Linked DNA regions of Neodiprion lecontei. The protein of the gene in region 1 interacts with the protein of each later gene in a pairwise test. Links are inferred from orthologs where the notes say so. Each region holds a gene or a part of one and is shown in the gene's direction. Other genes may lie near its edges.

Region 1 (6,923 bases):
TCTATTCTATCTTCCGTCAAATATAGAAATATTTACCTCGCCTAGGTGGTCACATGATTCTTCAGGTACTGTAATTTTCAATTCTTCGATTGGCGGTAGACCCTCAAACTCACTTTTAATATTTTTGATTTTTGGTAAATCAATTTTACTGACCCGTATAGGGCTGCAATGTAACAATCATACGTCACAAACAAAATCTTGTCCACACAAACTGCAGTATTCATCAACAAGCAATTTTTCACATCAGGTAAGGAATATTTAGCAATGTCTTACCTGTCTGATTCGCTATCAATATCACTATCGGTTTCTGTGGTATAATTGCTACCACTGGAATTTATACTACTAGATCCACTTTCAGAGTCATCATCTATAGACTCCATTCGATACTGTGTGTTATTTTGTCTCACATTGCCACGGTCATCAACAATGGTAATTACTTCGCATGGTGATGATGGTCTTTTTTCATTTTCATCCGAATCAGAACTTGCATATTCTGCCGCTAAATACGATAAGGAATTTACTACGTTTATTACCTCTACTTTGGAGATACCATCCCTTGAGTTTGAAGCTGCCTGAGCTTTTATTAAATCCATCGAAGCTGCGTTCTCAACGCTTTTGTCTTTTTGCATCAACTCATTTTGATCACTATTTTTGATCTCAATAGGCCTGTCATTCTGTGCGTCTTGAGCAACCAGTTGACCAGGCAATGTGATCAAATTTGCTGTCCGAGTTGCGTGTCTTTCTTGTATTTCTGGAGTATCAAGTCCATTTCCAACAACTTTCAAGGATTCGACATCATCTATGCTAATAGGTACATTAATCTGACCTTCCTCAGTGGTCACATTGGCCTCGACAGAATCATTTACTGATTTCATATACGAGCTGTCAATCTCCATTAGATCATGCTTCGAACTTGTTTCTGACGTATGTTGAAGCAACTTTATCGAGTCCGTAATTTCATCTTTCTCTGTGACATCTTTGATGTTAGAATATACAATTTTTACATCATCTACAGTGTCTCTTACATTCTCTTCACCGATATCCACCCTGCTTGATTTTGAGGTTAGAAGAATATCTTCGCGCTGATTCTCAGGGTCCCTTACGCCCTCGGAAGACATGGTATTATGATTTATTGGTAATTTACTTTGGTGTAGACAGTATTTTTACATGCGAAATGAACAATAGTTAATGATGTACATACCGCGGAAAGTTTAAAAAATACCATGCGCCATAGCTCCGCCGTCTCAGCTACTTTCCGCTCCCTCTAGCTCGGTATTATCTAACTTCCACCGAGTTTCTTCAACACTTTGATAGATGTCAGGAACGGTTTTATTTTGTCAACGATTTTGTTGTTGCTGGTTTTACTTGTGGAAAATTGCGCAAGCAAACTGATTGTAATTGTATAATACGTTTAGATTTTCACCTATCCTAATAAATCAACAAGAATATGAAAGACACGGTGCACAGCATGTCGACAACTCCAAATACTGAGGCTGTTCACGGTAACGGAGAGGTAATTGGATCGTGACAATTAGCGAATGTGACGGTTATGATAATTTAGAAAATTTTTGTCTAAAAATGTGGTATTATTTATTTCAATTAAAAATGACTACCTTTAGCTAATACAATCCATAACTGAACAAACACATGAGGTATAATTGATTTGTTTTAATTCATGTTTTTTTCAGGCCTTGCCAGTGGAGGAATCACCAGCCAAACTAAAATTGAGAGGATGGCTGAATCGTCACCTTAAAATCAAAATGACCGATGGCCGAGTTTTGACGGGGGCTTTTTTATGTACAGATCGTGATGCCAATGTTATTTTAGGCTCGTGTTCGGAATTCTTGTCAGAAGAACACACCGAAGCTAGAGCCCTGGGGCTTGTTATGGTGCCAGGTCGACACATTGTAACAATTCACTTAGACGCATAATTAATAATAAGTATAAGAATAAACTATTCTACGTCTGTACATTGACCAGTCAATACATTTTAGTAACATATTATCTTACGATTCTCTCACAAATATCAACATCCAGCACAACTGAAGTAACCTGTAAAGGTCATTGTTGTCTACAAAGTTATTATAATCGGCACAGCCCTCGGCTCAAACAAAATGATGGTTTTTGGATTGATATTCTTTAAAAGTAACATCGTCAGTCAGTGGAGACACCATTTTTGAATACCTAACCAGCTGACGTCAACGTTTAATGTAAACAAGTGCTGCGTGGCACGGTAACTGACAGAAGCAGAACCCCAAACGTCGTCGTGGAGTGAAATGTCAGTGTAAGATTCCACGGTGTTAAAATACCGTGAAGATCCAAACATCTTTGTGCAAACGGAGTGTTAAGATGCACGACGCCTACGAAGCTTCACCTCTCTTGAAATTGACAGTTCAGATCGAATCAATTACTGCTTACGGTAATGAGCGCCAAACATAACCTCAATCGTTCTACACCTTAACTGAAATAACTGTGCAGTATTCTAAATTATATATAAAACGCAACTTTGAATTATCAGTGAAACTTTTTACTTACAGATGATAACTTACTCATCGGCACTAGACAGGGACATTTGTTAATGTACAGTGTTCCTCCAAAGTCAAACGACAAACAAGAATTACAATTGCTTCGATACGGTAAAAACTTTAGCAAAAAACCTATTTTGCAGATCGAAGTTGTACCAGAGTACAACTTGTTGATACTTTTGACCGGTGAGTCGAATAAGAAAATAAAAATTTGAATTTTCAATTGCCAATAAGGCGATAACAATGTCCGAAAATCAATGTTTTAGACAACATCATTTGCGTACATGACTTAAATTCTGCAACAATCCCTCAAATATGTCAGTTGCAAAAAACGAAAGGTGCGACGCTCTTCGTGTTGGATGTACAACGTACTCAGAGTTTGACAGGTGAAAAAGATACAATTGTTCGCTTGTGTGTTGCTGTGAAGCGAAAATTACAATTGTACGAGTGGAAGGTGGATCAATTTATAGACTTTGGAGAAGAATTAACTGTTCCTGATGTGCCTCGAGTCTTGTCGTGGTACGAAACAAGTTATTAGATTGTAAAAGAAAAAGGTTGAGCAGCAATTGGTTGCATATCTTATTTAAATTTGCTCGGAACATTTTACGCTGTAGGTGCGGAGAAACTGTGGTTTTGGGATTCCGTGGATTATCTTATATACTTTTGGATCTAGATGGTACAAGTAAGGAATTATTTCCAAGTGGAAAGTCTCCTGAACCAGGGATAACAAAACTGTCAGACACGTCTTTTGCTTTAGGAAAAGATTCACAGTCAATTCTTATGAACACAAAAGGAGAATTGGTCCAACACAACTCTGTCAAATGGCCAGATTCGCCTAGTGCTACAGGTATCAATAATCAGTAAAACAGTGTTTCTTAAATACAATTCAATTCGAGATATTAAAAAATATATTGCGAGAATATTTATTTTCTAGCATGGGATGATCCATTTCTCATGGGTATAATTAACGATACTTTGGAAGTTTATACCTTGGAAGGTTGTTTACACATTCAAACGATACCAGAACTTAACAAAGCTAGATTATTGTGCAGGTGTAGAAAGGGCCTTGTTTATGTAGCATCAGTTAGCCAAGTTTGGTGTATAAATGCCGTGGAGGTGACGCATCAGATTCGAACACTTCTTGAACAGAATCAGTTTCAGCTGGCTTTAAAATTAACTGTGAGCATATCATTTATTATTGAAGAATTCATAAAATAATTGTTTAAACAACCAATGATCATGGTAAATTATCTGTTTCTAGCATTTGTCTGACATAACAGAAGAAGAAAAAGCAAAAAAAACGTGGAAAATACAAACGTTATACGCCCACTATCTTTTTGCTAATAAAAAATTTGCCGAGTCTATGGAGCAGTTTTTCAAATCAGGTACTGATCCGTACGAAGTAATCAGACTTTTCCCTGATCTGGTTTCCCAGCCAACCAATGCCAATGAAACTAGCGAACATGTTACAACTGTGCCAATATTGCAAGACCGTGATTTGGAACAAGGCTTGCTTGCCTTGATTAAGTTCTTGACAGAAGTGAGACATAAATTAATGGGTGATACGCAAGCAAAAGATAAAGAAAATGAGAAAAATAGTGAGAAAGATACAATGAAAGGAGAGAAAACCAAGAATATAACAGCTGTGGCTACAGAGCAGCTTTTAAAAATAATCGATACAACATTACTCAAATGTTACTTACAGGTAAATCTCAATTTTGTATTACTTAATATTTTGGCTATTCAGAATAAAATGCAGTCTTCAATCTTACAATAAATTACATTTACAGACAAATGATGCCTTGGTAGCGCCACTGTTGCGTTTAAACCATTGCCATTTAGCAGAATCGGAGAAGACTTTATTGAAATATCAGAAATACCCAGAATTAATTATATTATATCAAACAAAAGGTCAGCACAAGAAGGCTTTAGAGTTGCTTGAGAAACAATCCAACGAAAGTGATTCGAGTCTAAGAGGTACCGAGAGAACAATTCAATACTTACAGCACCTAGGTAAGGACCATATGGATTTGATTTTGAAGTTTTCTGGATGGGTTTTGGAACAGGACCCAGAACAGGGCCTCAGAATATTTATGGAAGATGTGCAGGTAATAATAATTAGTAGCATACCCACATTTTTCATCTTTCTTATATTCTGTGAATGGAATACTCTGTGGAAGCTCCCTGCCGTTATTTTACTAACTTGTACATATTTAATGCCGACAGGAAGTTGAACATTTGCCACGTCCCAAAGTATTGGATTATCTTTTACGTTGTCACAAAGACTTGGTGATAACGTACTTGGAGCATGTGGTTCATTTTTGGATGGATAACAATCCTCTATTTCACAACGTCCTGGTACACCAATATAAAGAGAAGTGTTTAGCAGGCTTGAACCCAAATGCTTCGCCGGCTGAAAAGCAAAATGTTCAGCACCTTCGACAGAAACTACAACAATTCTTAGAGAAGTCAACTCATTACACGCCAGAAACGGTCCTAGTTCATTTACCATTTAATTGCCTATTCGAAGAACGTGCGATTATTTTAGGACGATTGGGTCGTCACGAGCAGGCCATCTCCATCTATGTAAACTTATTAAATGACGTCCCCAAGGCGATTCAATTCTGCAGTAATGTATATGCAAAATTCGAAGGTTGGTATCATCTAAATGAATAATAAAAATATTCATTCTACATGATGAATATGTATTGAAGGTCAGAAAAATTCAGAAAAGGGGAAAAATCAAGATGGGGCCGACGAAGTCTATGTTACTTTGATCAAGCAACTTTTGAAGCCGGACAACGAAGGTGTCTTGGTAGCTACTGGTAAATCTCTATCATTTTCAAGATTCGCATTGTGTTACAGAAATATTTTTTGAAGTTGCGCTTTTAAGTGTACCTGTTGGTAAACTTATTTTATACTGTAGGGTGCACTCCAGAGAACCGAAGGACAGCTCAACCTGACTTGGAAACAGCTTTGGAATTGCTTGAGGAACATGCTGCAAAAATCGAACCCTTGAAAGCCTTGGAGGTTTTGCCTGACAATGTACCAATAGGTCGGATAAGACATTTCCTCGAGGCTAGCTTGCAGAATAATCTAAATGAACGACGAAGGACCCAAATTCTGAAAGGCTTGCTTTATGCTGAACACCTCCAGGTACAGGAGCAAAGAATGCATTACGAGTCCCAGAGCGTTCTCTTAACGGAGTTCAATATTTGTCCGGTATGCAAAAAACGTTTTGGAAATCAAAGGTAAATCATTTCAAAAATCTCTATTCGTTAACCGAACCATAACTGTGATTATAGCTGAATGATCCTTGCATATTGTCATTAAACTTAATAAAAACATTGATTGGTTGGTATACGCTCCAAGGACCATACAAATTACAAATTTTGAAACAGTGTTACTCAGTTTTTTCTAAACTAATTACAATTATGTTTTTCTTTTTGTTCACAGTGCATTTGCAAGATATGCCAATGGTGATATTGTTCACTATTCATGTCAAGAGAAAAAGGCGTAACGTATGTGAAAAGAATATGTATATAATTTTACATTATCGAAATCGAACATTTATAAATACTACTATACTATGATCCCCAAGTAAACGTGCAAAGGTATTGAAGTCAAAGAATCTATTATTGCATATATTACCTATGAATTTATTTTATGTGTTTCAACGTAAACGCATATGCTCGGCTGGTAAATCTTGGACTGTTGAACCTACTATACTTATATAACAGCTGCCAGGCCTGTATCTGTATAATCTTAAGGTGCAAATGCACCGAACGAATCAGTAGCTATGTATATGATCAGTAAATTAAATATCTGCCAACAGTTTGGTCAAAAAATAATTTCTTTCAGCCAAGTCACTCTCATTCCTAGTGTAAGATAACACAAAATTATGGATAAAATATATAACGATACTACATCTGCTAAGATTGATCGAACGCGTTCAAAGCCGAAAGATCGTGCCCGGGATACAACGATTCTTCTGTGCCGAGATTATCGCCCAATAATAACGTATTAAGTATCGAATAAATATAAAATACAGCAAATAATAAGGATCATTGAAGGATGGGGCGTGCCCATCGGCAAAATGTGTAAACGGGGCCGATGATGTCATACTCTTAGTGTATTCATACGCCCAATGTCACTATAGTCCGTGAGTCTATAGTTTACATGCGTGATCCCTGAAATTGACTAAAAACGCATGAAATCGGAGTCTGCAATTCACTTTTCGGATGAATTATCGTTCGGGATACACCGTCGTCTTTTACGGCGGCCAAATATTTCGCCGTGAACGTGATTCTCGGCGTCGCGACGCGCGAGTAGGCGGGACTAGTTCTTCTCCGCGAGGTCTGGACGCCGTGTTGCATTGCACAGTTGGTTGCGCGCCGG
Region 2 (4,978 bases), on another chromosome or scaffold:
TTACACTGCGCGTGTAATGATCTCGCCTCTAGTAAATTTACATTATATCAAGTATCCAACGTCATTCATCACATCTATTACGCTAAAAGTTTAATCTATTTTTATACACGCGTTACAAGTTTTACTTATTTACTACACCTGCAAGCATGGTAATTGTTGTAAGCACAAATTTTCTCCCAAACTGAGGTAAAAAGTGCGACGGGTCTCTTATTGTTAATTAAGTTGAGTACCCACTACAAGAAATTGATATATATATATATATAATATGATATAATTGATATATATATATATATATATATATATCATATTACACCTACATGTATATACGTAAACTATTGAACATTCGCAATTGAAACTTCAGGTTTCCCGAGATTCTTAATTAAGCCATAATCGTAGAAAGTTTTCTGGGCAGACAATGTGAGGTTTTTTTTATATATAATAAGGTGATTTCCTTCAAGATGCATGTATGTTATTATAAAAATTCCAATCTCAATTTACATTCCAACAATATTCCGTTCAAAATCTTGCGTACTACCTGTCAAGCATGCGTATTTTAGAGTTCTATGTTCAAAAATGTACCTAACTGATGTGGTTCTGATTGTGAGTCGACTGATTGTAATTCGGCACCATCTGATTATGAGACGTCTCACATCCATTATACAGGGATAAATATTGACTGCGATGTAACACTGTATATTACACCTAATTCAGAAAATTCACACATCTGTCGTTCGATCAAACTTTCCTCAATCCTTCAATACGGCGGTTACAGAATTATTTAGAATCTCATACAATAATGTATAGGTATATCATCTTATATTGAACAGCACCTGCATATCTACAATTGACAATCAAAATAATTTCTTAATTGAAGTCTATACACACTATGCATAGAATACGTATAAAAGAAGTCTGTAACAAACTCTGGTTGTTAACGTCAAAATAAAAGCGATATTCTGTGTCATATAATATACACACTGTGCGATTCCCTACTTCAATAGCGATTACTATCGGGTCATGTGCCCTATATTCGCCCTTTGCATTCATCTCCCTAAAGTATACATTTAAACTTTTAAACAGCTCGATAAAGTTGCAAAGATTTTCGGAAATTTCTTTCAAACCTCATGGCGCTGGTAGAGAATTACAGAAAACTGTTGCACCCCCAGACTCTTCAACTTGAAGGCGCCACTCAGGCTGAATTTTCACGGGCGGCAAATAGTCGAGGCGCGCTAGATATTCACCTCAGACTACGCGGATGCTGCATGGATTTCCATGTAACTTTTTGCAATCTCTTTGAAATTGAATAAGAATCAAAGCCTGGACTAGAAATGCTGCCGTGGTATTTTGGTGCAGAGCTATCCACCAAAAGGAATGACAATAAATTAGAGAAGCGCTACTAAGAGTCCCTGCAAAACGGACTCTAGCGCTACCTGGCGCGCAGTGGTTGCGAATTACCTATTTTCTTGGCATTTCACGGCAGCAAAATACTGCAGCAGCATTTTGCTGTCCGTGAAAATCTGGCTCACCAAGTTACATACCTAACATACATTAGGCTGAAACTTAGGTTTGTTTTTGGGTTTGTTTTTGGGTAAGGGAAGCTGAAGGATCGTTGAGAAGTTGCTGCATTTTGCTATACCAACTGGATTTCACATTGAAATCGCACAAGACGAGTCGAAAAGTGCAGGCATTGAATAATCGTATTCAAACAAGAATAAAATACCCAAACGTGACCGACTGAACCTATTGACGTGATCACTTACCATCAAACACTGCCAAATTGCTACAATTACGGATGAGCATTTTGCCTACCTTACCAACCGAACTGGCACGAAAAATTGCACGATATAGCAGTTATACAATGATTGTTACTCAATGACGCGGCATAGTGAGAGCACTAGAGCTCTGTAGAGCTCTGTGGCGTCTGTGGTGGCAAGTGGTGGCAACTCGTGGTTCTTCGCAGAGTTGACAAAGTAGTTCGTGATTGTTACAGTATCAGACATGGCGCTCGCTGAAGTTTGCGGAGTAAATTCTTACTTGGATTTCAATTTACCCAGAAATAATGACAATTTTCAAGGGGAAATTGAAGCCTACAGCAAGAATTTCAGCAACAACTTGAATTTGGCTATGCCTCCGTTCGCAAACGTACGTATTATCTTTAATATTTGTCGAGTTTGACAGTTCCTTGTAAACTGCATCATCATCACCGTTACCCTGTTCATGAATCGGCTGTTCAGTTCCAAATACTGAGTACAGCATATTGAGCTGCCAAAAATTTGTGACATCTGCTGTTGCGTTCCTTTAATTCCCAAAACTTACACACTTCATAACTACTTATTCGGCACATAATTCGTACCATCCATCGATGATTGGCTAACCCTAACCTCTATTTAACCCATTTAAACATTAAACTAATCACCCAATAGCCGGCTGAAAATTTGTCTCGATTCTCGACCGATGAAAATGGAAGAAAATTGAAAATAAATTTCGATCATGGCACAACGACCCTTGGATTTCGTTACAAAGGTGGCGTCGTTCTTGCTGTGGATTCGCGTGCTACTGGTGGCCAATTTATTGGTAAGTTCAGCAGCCGTAATTTTATTTTGTAGCCACGTCTTGTACCAGATACTCAAACAACATTTTTATGAATTGGACAATTACATTCTGATGTAAACTTAAATAAGGGGCGCAACCACTAGCGCATGAGTACGAGATAATAAAGACTATGACGATACACCATTTTGTCATTGCGATCCTAAATTGAAGTAATTTTATACCTTGACATCCTTATTACAGCACAGGAGGAAATTTCAATCATTTTATATTCATTGCAGGGTCTCAGAGCATGAAGAAGATCGTTGAGATCAATGACTATCTTTTGGGAACACTAGCTGGTGGTGCTGCTGACTGCGTCTACTGGGATCGTGTCTTGGCAAAGCAATGCCGGATGTATGAGCTTAGAAACAGAGAACGAATCTCTGTTGCTGCTGCAAGCAAACTGATGTCCAACATGGTTTACAATTATAAAGGAATGGGCCTTTCTATGGGTATGTTGCGTTGGTTCATGAATTCATGAAGATGAATTGTCCTACGGACATCATAGTTTAAGATGAGATTTAGGTACTTGAATTAGTTAGAACATTGCACAATGTACAATTCGAATATAAATAATGTAATTTCAATCTCGGATAATACGAAAAACATTCACAATTCAAGCCATCGTTATATTCCCTCTGCTTGAATCCAGAAAAGTAACTGTCGAATTTATAATTCGGAATGCATAAAATTGCAACAAACTTTTATGTTTTTAAGTTTATGTATTGTGACGGGCATTTCCAACGGGTCCCAAATAAATGTCTCACGGCTTGGACTGGATCGGGATCCCGGACGATTACCCGACCAGCTCAAGAAATGCCATGTTACAGCATATTCAAAACAGAGCGATGCATGATTATTTCATACATAGGCACACGACATTATTCCGTTTCATCCGAGGTTCTTCGTATTATCCGAGGATACACCTCGGTTAATGTGGTGTGCTGGGGTGAAATGGGTGTCTCAGATAATCGGAATCTCGGTTAATCGAAAATCAGCTAAGCGAGGTTCTAGTGTGTTATGATAGAGAAAATAAGTTTTTATTAATAAAATTGCCAATATTATTGTCACTAACAGGAATGATGATCGCCGGCTGGGATAAAAGAGGGCCTGGCTTATACTATGTTGATTCAGAAGGAACTCGAACAGCCGGTCAAGTGTTTAGTGTTGGTTCTGGCTCTGTATACGCCTTTGGCGTTTTGGATTCCGGTTACCACTGGGACTTGACAGATGAAGAAGCCTATGAATTAGGGAGAAGGTCCATTTACCATGCCACTCACAGGGATGCGTACTCTGGGGGTATAATACGAGGTAAGAGTGGCAGTTGTAATCGAATTCCCCAATTTGTTGTGAATTCCGATAATAATTACAATACAACTTTTGGATTAACCATGATTTTATTTATCAATCGATTGTAAATATATGTTAATTTCAGTTTATCACATGAAATCTACTGGATGGGTTCACATTTCCGACGAGGACTGCAAGGATCTTCATTACAAGTATCAGGAAGACAAAGAGAAGCTGAGAAATGTACGACAGTAATAAAATTTTCATTCAAGTGTATCCTCAAGAATATATTGTATTGCAAACAATCGTCATTTTGTAATTAATTAAAAGTTTTTTCGTATTGCATAAATTATACCTATATCTCAGATCTCTAACATAAAGTATATTCCATTGTAAATATACAGGTTCATTGATTTGTTGCTGAACGTGAGACCCCGATCAGAGAGAGTCGCTGATAAAACAGCTACGAGAGTCGCTTTCTCGTTCGGCAACAAATGAATGACGCTGTATGAACATTTATGTTATGCTTGCACTGTGATTCATATTGCAGTACTCCTCATTCCGATAATCAAAGTGCATATTTCATGAACAAATGATACGGACAAACGAAATAGATTAGTTGAGTCGTTATCGCAATTTGATTGATCAACAACAGTCAAAGTACATGTGATTATAAATTTAACATATTGTCGACACGATACAATGTATCTGTGTTATTGCTGTGTTGACTGTTAAGTTTGGAAAAAAAAAATTTACTCGTCTTTCTTTCCACTGAAAAAAAAAAAAAATGAAAACACGCAGATTGGCTGATTCGCACATAGTACCGCGAATCGCGTTGATATTGTGAGTGCCCTTGCGTCCGGCCGATCACGACTCGTCCTTTTCCATCGAATACGCGACTTTGCATAAGAACAGAGATCGTCTAACAGCGCTTTTTCCAGAAATATGTATCTCCATAGCTTTTTCGCCGTCTAGCCAAGAGTCGCTTTCGCGTCTCTCGTGCGGTCGTTCGGGTCCACTGAAATATAATTATTACAATTCATTGGTTTTGTCGCAGTGGGACGACATCGTAAATATCAATGACGTGAAATTTTTA

The links.
Region 2: the proteins of vam6/Vps39-like protein (region 1) and proteasome subunit beta type-5 interact in a two-hybrid assay, tested with the Caenorhabditis elegans proteins (2 studies listed by BioGRID). The link is inferred for Neodiprion lecontei from reciprocal best matches to the Caenorhabditis elegans genes vps-39 and pbs-5.

The regions. Positions count from the first base shown.
Region 1 is NC_060265.1:27,124,443-27,131,365, reverse strand, and holds vam6/Vps39-like protein, read left to right. Parts: upstream 1-2,153; 5' UTR 2,154-2,349; coding exon 2,350-2,419; intron 2,420-2,537; coding exon 2,538-2,711; intron 2,712-2,791; coding exon 2,792-3,044; intron 3,045-3,139; coding exon 3,140-3,372; intron 3,373-3,459; coding exon 3,460-3,704; intron 3,705-3,786; coding exon 3,787-4,230; intron 4,231-4,315; coding exon 4,316-4,633; intron 4,634-4,751; coding exon 4,752-5,178; intron 5,179-5,239; coding exon 5,240-5,350; intron 5,351-5,451; coding exon 5,452-5,776; intron 5,777-5,981; coding exon 5,982-6,045; 3' UTR 6,046-6,376; downstream 6,377-6,923. Other genes in the region: H/ACA ribonucleoprotein complex non-core subunit NAF1, read right to left, coding at 37-163, 274-1,118; N-alpha-acetyltransferase 38, NatC auxiliary subunit, read left to right, coding at 1,448-1,513, 1,689-1,931. UniProt on the Caenorhabditis elegans protein: Plays a role in vesicle-mediated protein trafficking to lysosomal compartments including the endocytic membrane transport and autophagic pathways.
Region 2 is NC_060262.1:42,577,915-42,582,892, forward strand, and holds proteasome subunit beta type-5, read left to right. Parts: upstream 1-1,939; 5' UTR 1,940-1,998; coding exon 1,999-2,142; intron 2,143-2,423; coding exon 2,424-2,574; intron 2,575-2,831; coding exon 2,832-3,044; intron 3,045-3,669; coding exon 3,670-3,903; intron 3,904-3,970; exon of another isoform or gene 3,971-4,027; coding exon 4,028-4,137; 3' UTR 4,138-4,231; downstream 4,232-4,978. UniProt on the Caenorhabditis elegans protein: Component of the 20S core proteasome complex involved in the proteolytic degradation of most intracellular proteins. This complex plays numerous essential roles within the cell by associating with different regulatory particles.